Linked DNA regions of Schizosaccharomyces pombe. The gene in region 2 interacts genetically with the main gene of each other region. Each region holds a gene or a part of one and is shown on either strand. Other genes may lie near its edges. The genes, in order: pyp3 and srk1.

Region 1 (4,195 bases), on a different chromosome or scaffold from region 2:
GGAGCATCATTTTTTTGAATTTAATAATTGCATTCAATCAACAACTTTATGGAAAAAAACAGTGAAAACGACTGTCTGTAATAGAAGTAGTGGGTAGTACGGTTAAAGAAGCTACTTCCTCTGAACCAGCCTTGTTGGGCTTAGCGGATCGTAGTATCGACCAACAAGCGACTAAACTTACCGAATAGCACTTTTAATTCAGTACCTTAAACGAAGTTTATTGTTTGTTTATTATTTTTATAGCAATTTATATGATATGTAATGGAATAAATGGGAAAGTTGAATTTCATACTTGACAAGGTTTTTATATGTACTAAACAGTATTAATATCAATAACCACAGATACCCAGCTTCACTATATGCCAAAGTACTAATAGTTTGCACGTCAAATGGTACGTGGTCAAGAAAATTAAAAGAATTGCCAAAGCGTTCATTCAACTTTTTTGCGATGAACATTTAAATTCGTGGTTACTTCTTTGTCAATTTTATTCCATGCAGCAAATTATTGTAAATTCTTTAATAAATTAAAAGCGCCTTGTATAAAAAATCTATAAATGAATCACAAAGGATGAACTGCTACAAACATTGACGACCTATAATATTTTGGAGATAGTTGTGTTTGTCATTACGAATTATAACAATAGATGACTTTTGAACCTTCGATAAGATAAAAAATAAAAATAGTATTCATATTTACGTTTTATTGATCATTTTATAGGTCTCTAAAGAAATAGTGCCATATAAAGTAATTGAAATCATTTTTAATCATTAGCGGTCCAAAAACTGGATATCAAAGAAATAAAACGTGCTAGACAAATAAAATAAATTTTGAATAAAAAAAAGAAGATCCTCTTATAAATAATATAATGTTAATTCGAAAATTCATGAGACGAGTTTTTAACATCGAATCGACTATCAGCAAACTCTAAACCAAAGGCTATAACTGAGGAAGAAGAAATTCCTTCCCTTGAAGCAGCTCTTGAGATACTGTATAAAGAAAAACAAGCTGATCGACCGATTGAACAGATTGCATTCTTTGTGACCGAAGACTGGAAACTATATTTGCGATATTATCCACCTCAAATTTCGAAGTTGAAGTAGAGTCATCTGTTTGAGATAAAATCTCAAATAACGCCATGAAAGTTCCCGTTCTGCCACAACCCGCTGAACAATGGACTATAATGGGTGCTGTTTCAAAGTCCGGAGAATATGAGAGACTTTTTATATAGCGAGTCAGTGATAGTAGTGAGAAGGTATGTGGTGCACCAAAGTCAGGCCAACCGTTATAGTAAAAATGCAAAATTTTTTTCTTGACCCCGTCCTTGTTCAGCTCAAATTCACGAACTTGAACTTCATTTAATGATGTCAAAGTATAAACTTTTACCAAAATAACGCTTAAATCACCGATATTAAGTGTCTCAAACAGTTCCACTGGCCAATAGATATCACATTTCAGACGATGGCGTTCCCTCAATTTGGTAAGCATAACGATGATGCCTGATTTTGGCACAGATTGCCAGACCATCTTCCAAAAAACATCAATACTGTTCGACGTTGGACCCTATATAAATAAAGAAGACTAAGTTAGTAATTATGTTACAAAAAATGATGAAAAGAAAAAAGGCCAAAGCCGTTTACAATCCCGCAATTTCTTTTTATTCCTAACCTGAGTAGCGATAAATGTTTTCCCAGAAGGGATTTTTACTATGGAAGCATTAATGTAATCACATGCTTCTTTCCACATTGGATCTAAACGAACACGAGTATTTTCATAAGGGACTATGTTGGAGTATCGGTTTCTAGCCAGCGCTTTCTTACTTAGCTTTGGCAACCTAGTATTTAACAGCTCTATCTCTTCCTCATTGAGTCCCTCAATAATCATGTACGCTTTTTCTTTTATTGTGATCAAGGGTGTTAGAACACCATTTTCTGTAGATACTTCTTTAAAAGACATATTGATTTTTTGCGTTTATTCGCTTTTAAACTTCTCACCGAAGTATTTTTTTGTGTCTATCAAAAAGAAAGAATAATTTCTACTAAACGACTTTAAATGATTCCTAAAACCATGACAGAAGTCAGTAAAAAAGAGAAGTATAATTGTTTAATAAATCATCATTGTACGGCCCCCACATAGCGCTAGTTTCTAGTTGTAGTCGTAATCTAGTTCACGTTCACATTCACTTCGTAGGACTAGGCCCAGAGTATTTGCGAATGTCTATGTGGGGGTAACTCGAACCTTTACGAAGCCGGTAGTATGAAGAACAAGCTATATGTGGGATACTTTTATAGGTTGTAAACAACTGTATTGATGATAGTGAATAAAATGATTTAAACGCACTTATGTTCTCTCCAAGGACTTAATCGATCTGCTATACTTTTACTTTCAAAAACAAAAATATTTAAAGTGTAGAGAAAAGTTTTGACGTTTCTTATATAAGGCCAAGTATTATAATACTTGCTCAGCAATTGTTTCATTAAATGCCTGTTTGAATGTCGCCATTGTTCTTTAGGAGTTGTGTTTGACTCGTTTGACTCCCTTACTTGGCTTCTTTGGTTTTAATGTAATTTGTAAAGATTTCTTTGAATGAAAACGTGCCTAAATTGGTTTTAGGTGTTCTTTCTTCTAAGGTTTCCAATAACTTTAACTCAGAATTAGTAAAAATCATTAATTGTTAACAAAAGCTTATGACAGGTTTTTTCTATTCTTTTTTTTTGAATGTTCGCTTAAGAAAAGTCATATGTAAACATCAACGAAGCCAGCTTGGATATGTTTATGATTTCTCCGGTAATAGCAGTTGAAATGCTATAAACTAACAAATTATTCATTTAATAAGAAAATCAATAATTTACTCGATGTTTAATATTATTTGCTTGGAATGCTCAAATTGGATGAAATGAGACTATAAACAACAAAAAAACAATCGTCGTCAAACTATAATGCTATATAATTAAATTATAAACGTTTACTTTCCACTATTTACTATTTCATAATTTTTGTTATATATCCATCCACCCTTTTACCAAAGCACATCAAAAGTGTCTTTGCTGGTATAGTTCTATGAATGCGTCTAATAACATTTCAAAATTTCCTGATTTAGATAATTCTTCAAAATTAATTGACCACATACTTGATAGTGATGATTCTGAAGAGTTGGACGAGCTTCCTGATATCTCTTCTTTGGTGCCTTCGGCAAGAGCCCAATCGCGAAAACAGTATTTGAAAAATGATTCTTCTAATTCATCTACATACAGATGGAATATTGATCTTCTTTCTAGTACTGCTACAATTGACGATTCGGTTGCAAAAAGAAGAAAATTAGCAGTACAAAATTTATTGCAATATGACAGCACTCAAACCTTTCAAACGGGAGATGAAATTGATGAATTAATAGGAAAAAGTGTTGGATCAAATGTTTTGAATGTTCTACGTTCTAACCCTATTTATGATGACGACCTTAGGTACGAATATTGTAGCAATTCAAAAGCTCGTGTTCCAGACTGGAACACCCTGAAAGCAGAATGCTTGAAAGATAACGATTTGGAGTTTAATGAAGGAATTATACCAACAACTTTTGGTGATTTATTATCGGCAAAATTGGTCCCCTTAGATATTGCATTGTCAATATGCAGCTTGCAATTTTTCCGCTCTTTAGGAGACACAACATGCTCTGAATGGATTGCTAACCTAGAAAAGATTTTTTATAGCTATAAAAGCAGCTCTAATAATCTCAACCAAATTGTACGATTTATTTTTGAGACTACTGCAGATATGATTGGCATTGATTTAGCGAAACGACAGGTACCAATCCAGTTGGAACGTACGTCAGCCTCAGAAAATTTAAAAAGCAATTTGAAAATTAAGGTAATTAATTTCCTAAAATGCTGTGGAACTTTGTATCGGTTCTCCGACGACACTGTTCGCTTTGAAATGATTCAGGATGCATGTCGAATCTTAATTGACAATCAAGTGGGCTCATTTTGTAAATGGCAATTTTCTCAATTCATGGAACTTCCAATATCATTGAATCCAGATTTTTTGATCAGTAATATTCATAAGGTGTCTGAAAGTCCTAGAGTTTGGGTTACAATACTATCTTCTTTGTCTCGTTCCTGCCAAAAATTCAGAAAGAAGATTGCTTTTACATTATTTGTTGGGAAACAAAGTAAAAATGATGATTCAGACTTTTCTTCTTTA
Region 2 (5,975 bases):
ACATTAAGGACTCCTATAATATAACGGTAAAAATCCTCGTTAAGAAAATTTTATGCAATTATTATTATATTATTACATTATGAAAGAATTTAATAATTTCGTTTTAAAAGTAAAGTCGTGAACTAAGGTATGTGAATTTTAAAAAAGTTTATCTAAAAAATAACATAAAAAGTTTACTGTACCATGTTTGTTCTTATGATTCTCTCACCAATATTGATCGAACGACATTCTGCGAGTCAATTATGCAACAGTGGTCTTGATCGTGCAACTGATGCGTGAATTTTATAGGCATAATGCTTACGAGAAACGAGAAAGCAACAGATATTTATTATCCGTGCGCTGTAACTTACCTACACATTGTTTAAAAAAAGCAATAGCTTAAACAATGGTCAGCAACTTCCTATCCGTTTTGGCCAAATAATACACGCCGTCCAACGAACATTATTTAATACATTTATTTATCATCAATTTCACTTCAACATCATCGACAAAACACTACAGAACCTTCATGCCTAAACTATTGGAATATATACAGGATCAAGCGAATATTGCACAAAATTCTATCTACTCAAATCAAAACGACTAGCAGTCATTGATAGATTCTTTAAAAACAACGTGACAAAGAGCAAATGGCTTTTTTTGGCACACACTGACAAAAAAATGCGTAAATCATTAATGGTATTATCTAACAGCATTAAACGTCCTTGTCATTAAAAGACAGGCCTGGTAATATTTCAATCTCTTCTTTCAAGCTAAAAAGAATCAAGAGATCGCGGTTACACAGTACGTAAATAAGTACAATATCGAAACTTTTGGGAAGCCATGTCATATGCAAAGTTGAAAATAACCATATTCCAATTTCACCCCTTGAAAATTTTAATTTAAACAACGGTTTCATTAAAAGAATGCATAACTAGTTTCCATCTTTTTGAACATCTCAGTCCTAAGAATAGTTGTTGAGCATCATATAATTCGTATGGTTCTATCATAAAGAAAATTTAAGGTAACAATAAATTGAAAGTATTGGAATAAATCCCAACTATTAGAACATATTCGTCACTGAGTAAGCGTCAATTGATTAACAGAGTGGATAGTTTTAAAAAGATTGAAGATAAATTTTAAGGTAAATAACTCATAAATAGTAAACATTCAAAACAGGAAGAATACAACAAAGTAGTAGTGTCGAAAAATCAGCATTACTGAATCGCATTTAAAAGCAACTGATTTGGATAAAAAAGAAAAGTAATCGAAGTTAGACGTCTGTGTTACACTTTTTGTCGATGTCGACGATTATACAAAGTTGCCTTTGACAAGTTGAGTTGGAAACCTTTGAACTTATTCCGCGACCTTTGAGATGATTGTTGTTGCGATTGAGCAGGTTGGCGGGAAGCAAGGCTAGGATCGTTTTCACCTGACAGGTTGACTCGTTTCATCGAATGTTCAACGCTCTTGGTACCATCATCGTAATCATCATTCTCCTCCATCAAATCATCCATGTCACCCATAAAATTCATGATTCCTTGGTTACCACGTTGACCACGTTTCCTAATCTTCTCTTGTTCCATTCGGTGGGCTGCATACGAAATATTAAATACTTCTCTCAACGAGTTAACACCAGGAGTACGAGCGGCTGAACCGGCAGCAGCAACGTCTTCGGGCTCAAGAAAGTCATAGGTAAATGGGTTTTCGCGTTGAGCAGTGTTAGGAGCATCGGTGGCAGGAAAGGTAGGTTCCCGAGAGCCCGAAATCCATGGATGGGCTAAAAATTGATGAATGTCGTAACGAGATTCCGGGTCGACAGTTAATAAATGACTGATTAAATCCTTTGCACTCTTTGAAATATCATCCCACCAAGGAGAAAGGAATGAATACTCGCCTCGTGAGACTTTTTTCGTCAACAAAGAAATGCTTTCATCATAAAACGGGGGGAATCCACAAAGAATAGTGTACAATACGCATCCCAAAGCCCACATATCAACTCCCTTAGAATACCTTTCATCACGGACAATCTCAGGGGCTGTATAGCCCATAGTGCCACACGGAGTTTGAGTGTGAGAGTCCCAAACCACTTTGCTTAGACCGAAATCTGCGAGACGGATTCGACCGATGGTGCCAGCGCCGACACCGGGAATAAACTCGCCCTCGTCTACCTTATCGGGATCGTCTCCGGCACGGTATTTACGAACCCGAGAGGGCACAAAGTCGATAGAATCAAAAAGCAGGTTTTCAGGTTTGATATCACGATGAACGACACCGCAGTCTTCATGCAGATATCGAATGGCATGTGCAACTTGAGTTATGACATGACGAGACAAATCTTCGGAAAAATAGGTGAGGCGAACGATTTGATGAAATAATTCACCACCGTCAGCCAGCTCTAAAACCAGGTAATAGTATTCCGGGGTTTGGATGAATTCCAAGAGTTGAATGATGTTAGGATGTTTAACGCGACGCATGATTTGAACCTCTTTTAAAATGTTGTGCGATTCAACGCCTTGTCTTTTTCTGGGATCGCGAGGATCGGTGTTTGGTTGAGCGCGCTGGACAACTTTAATGGCGACTTTTTCACCCGTTCTGTTGTGAATAGCTTTGTATACATTACTAAAAGCACCATCGCCCATCTTTTGTAATAGAGTGTATTGTTCAAGGCCTTTATATACAGGAAATTGTTGGCCGGAATGTTCCTCAACAATGGCCTTTGCAACTAAAGCCTCGATGGCTTTATCATATTCTTTTTCGTTGGTAGGTTGTTTACATTTGGAGCGCGAATATTCGGAAGGATTCTCGTGCACCGTCTCGTGGAAATGTGCATGCCGGGACTTGGGTTTCGAGGTGGGATTTTGAGTGGAGTCCGCTACTTGCTGAGTTATGCCAAAATTTTCTTCAGCATCCGAAAATATGCCAGCAGTATAGCCATGGTCCCGTTCAGCATAGGAATCGGGATTCACTTCGCGAACGTTCACCTTGCCCTCGTCCTCGATATTTTGCTGAATACTCTAAATAAATTAAATTAGCATAACAAAAAACAAAAAAAAAGTAAAAGGGAAATGTGTTTATGGATAAAGGTGGTTGGAAGAAAACAAAACCAAAACACATTGTATGCGTAAAAGAAGTGCGGTGAGATTGATGTTTCCTACTGAGAAGAGGGATGGAATGGAAAGGATGGGAGTATAATCAATAGGCATGGTTATGGTTATGCTTTTGGTAATTCAAACATACTTTAAAACGCATTATTTGAACAGACGGCGACAAACGGAATCAATCAAGAGATATGGGTATTATTAGAAAAATAACTAATTAAAGATCTCTAGTCGTTTGGTTTTACGTCTGGAAATGTGCCAACACATTTGCTTCCAAATTCTTGACACTGATCTATCCGCATCCGTACTCTTGAACTAAACCAAGATAACAGAGAGACAAGATGATAGAAAAAAGAAAAAAAAAAGAAAAAAAAAAGGAATTTCGCACAAAAAGAATGAAAAAAAAGATACACTTGCGCATCCGCCAAATTTAACTTAACGACTTGAAAGCGAAACCCGTCACCTGAATGATGTAGAGAATGAAGTCAAGCATACAATCACCGCCTAGCAGAAGGGGAAGGAGACGTGATATAGAATAAGGTAAAGATGAAATCAAAACTGATCATCAAGGAAAGAGCAAATCTCCGTATGAAAGCACCTGACGTAGAAGAAAAAAAAAATCCAAAAAAAAGTCCAAAAAACTAGTCACAGACTTGGAAAGAAAATAAAAATGAAATAAAAACACAAAAGAAAAAAATCGCTTCTTGCTTTTCTTTTTTTTTTATTAGAATTCAGTAATCTTCCAAGACTCGATATTGTCCAACCGTCCTAATTCATTCGTCCACTTATCTCTCCTAAGATCCCTATCCCCAACCCAGTCCAAAGGTAGGAAGTGTAACGTCAACAACACTCTCCAAACGCAAAGTCTTTCCGATACTCATCTCCAGCCTCTAATATCCGCGTTTACATCCACAATCCAAACAAAAATCCGACTCAAACATTACCCACACGAACGAGTGAGCAAACATTTACAAACGTACATTTTTAAGAATCATATAACTTTCCAATACTGGGTACCCTTCCAATAGTCTCCAAAAAATTACTAAATTAGCTTTTCAATTGATTTTCACAGAAATATATTGTTGGTGTCCAACAATCGTGGTATGCGAAAGACAAGAAGTTTATGTCGGCGGATTTGCCTACTTTGACGTCCTTCGTTAACGTACGTCATTGGCATCATGCGAGCCGCTCGTTCCAACTCTGTATTCGCTTACGATGGTGGTGACGTTGCGCATCCATGACTCGATGAGGTTTTGCGGTAAGCGACACGGTGCAATGGCGAGGTAAAAGTGTAAAGTGGGTGGAGGTCAGCATGACATCAGAGACAAAATAGGAGGATATTGGTGTAGGAAGGGAAGAGAAGAGGATATCGTTTATAAAGAGGTTGTTGGAGGAATGCTAGGGGGGGAGAGAGAGAGAGAGAAAGAAAAAAAAAGATAGAAGTATGGATGGCATGGATGTGTTCTATCTTGTTTTCGATTGTATACTATGAAAGATGGATAGAAAGAATTTATTCGAGATCTAATATTTTTTCAATCTCACTCATCCATCCTCTTGCAAACCTTTTTTTCTTTTTCATTCACCCATGAATTTCATCTGATACAGCAAATCAACCAATCTTTCCTTCCTCCCCTCCATTGCTCATTTCACTTTTGAGTGGCTTCTGCACTGTTTGGCGAAATAAATTTCCATGTTATTCCATTTTGAGTTGATTAGTTGAGTGATTTTCTTCTGTCGTGAAAATTTTCAACAAACTTTATCTGTCTATCTCATTATCCTTGTTGATGCAGCGATCCATCTCATTTCTGTTACTTGCAATTGATTTCTTATAATTAGCAAAATTTTCATAAGCCGACTGGCTGGCTTCATTACATATCCATCATCTTGGTGTACAATGAGATCGACGCAATTGACCTGATAAAAACGCTGGATGAAAAATCGCCCATTCCTCATTGTTGAATGAATGAGATGAGATGATGTTTTGGCTGTTGTCGCCTGACTTCAAGATCTAAAATTCATTTGAAAAATCAAAAGTTCTTCTTATAGGGCACGGCAATTGCGCCCTTTCCATACAATGCAAGCCCTTAAGTATAGAGATGGCGAGCTTGTTTATCATCATGGATAAACGCTTCGCCGTCTTTGCCTCAAGTGACAAGCCAAATAATTGTAGTAGAAAGAACATGTTTTTTTTAAAAAATATCATTGTACTGTCGAATTACCTTTACCTTTTGTATAAGGCATGGATTGTTTGTACTACCATATCTCTTTGCTGCGATTTTCCTCTGTTCAATTTTCTCTTTATAGCGATTCCATACTTTACTGAGATTCTCTACAATGATTCCTCTTTACTATGGTTTCTTTTCGTATCACTGTGTTTTATTACGTTATCATTCCAATCTTTGGAAATATAGCTGACAGCTTGCACAGGCTGAGGAATCGCTTCTTCAATAGTCATAATGAATATAAAGTTAATGTTGATTTTACCTGAATATGTTTATATAAGAAAGGCCTACCTAAGAATGAACAGTTCTCTTATTACTGTATTCATGTTTATACTTATAATTTGGATATACTGGCTAAGACGATATTGGCGGATAGGAAAGGCAGAGTCGTATTAGAATAAGTGAAAAAAGCGTGCGACAGCTAAAGAAATCGCATAGGAAATTTTTTAGAAGGGTTTTTAAAGGTAAGTTTTGTTCCTTCTGAACCGCAGTTCAACCAAATTTCCCATCCATCATGTTAGCTTGAATTGGGATTTTAATCAGTATAACAAAAATCGTAGCAACTGGCTTAATTTAGATATACAAATTAACACCAACTTTTTTATCATGAAATATGATGTTGTTTTTACTGCTTCTTTTTTCCTATAGCATGGATTGAAACTGTTCTAACAAC

Evidence for each region.
Region 1: of srk1 (region 2) and pyp3, extra expression of one rescues a mutant of the other (dosage rescue), as found in Schizosaccharomyces pombe (one study listed by BioGRID).

What each region holds. Positions count from the first base shown.
Region 1 is NC_003424.3:5,296,597-5,300,791, reverse strand, and holds pyp3 (protein tyrosine phosphatase Pyp3), read right to left. Parts: upstream 2,078-4,195; 5' UTR 1,955-2,077; coding exon 1,667-1,954; exon of another isoform or gene 1,562-1,666; coding exon 938-1,561; 3' UTR 603-937; downstream 1-602. Other genes in the region: SPOM_SPAC11E3.10 (ER or Golgi multispanning membrane VanZ-like family protein), read right to left, coding at 1-10; Smc5-6 complex non-SMC subunit Nse6, read left to right, coding at 3,059-4,195. UniProt on the Schizosaccharomyces pombe protein: Contributes to dephosphorylation of tyrosine 15 of cdc2.
Region 2 is NC_003421.2:1,300,156-1,306,130, reverse strand, and holds srk1 (MAPK-activated protein kinase Srk1), read right to left. Parts: upstream 4,195-5,975; 5' UTR 3,232-4,194; coding exon 3,220-3,231; intron 2,997-3,219; coding exon 1,266-2,996; 3' UTR 663-1,265; downstream 1-662. Other genes in the region: protein mug150, read left to right, coding at 5,177-5,491; karyopherin/importin beta family nuclear import signal receptor Kap113, read right to left, coding at 5,945-5,975. UniProt on the Schizosaccharomyces pombe protein: Delays the mitotic G2/M transition by promoting nuclear exclusion of cdc25. During osmotic stress, inhibits the G2/M transition in a sty1 stress-activated MAPK pathway-dependent manner.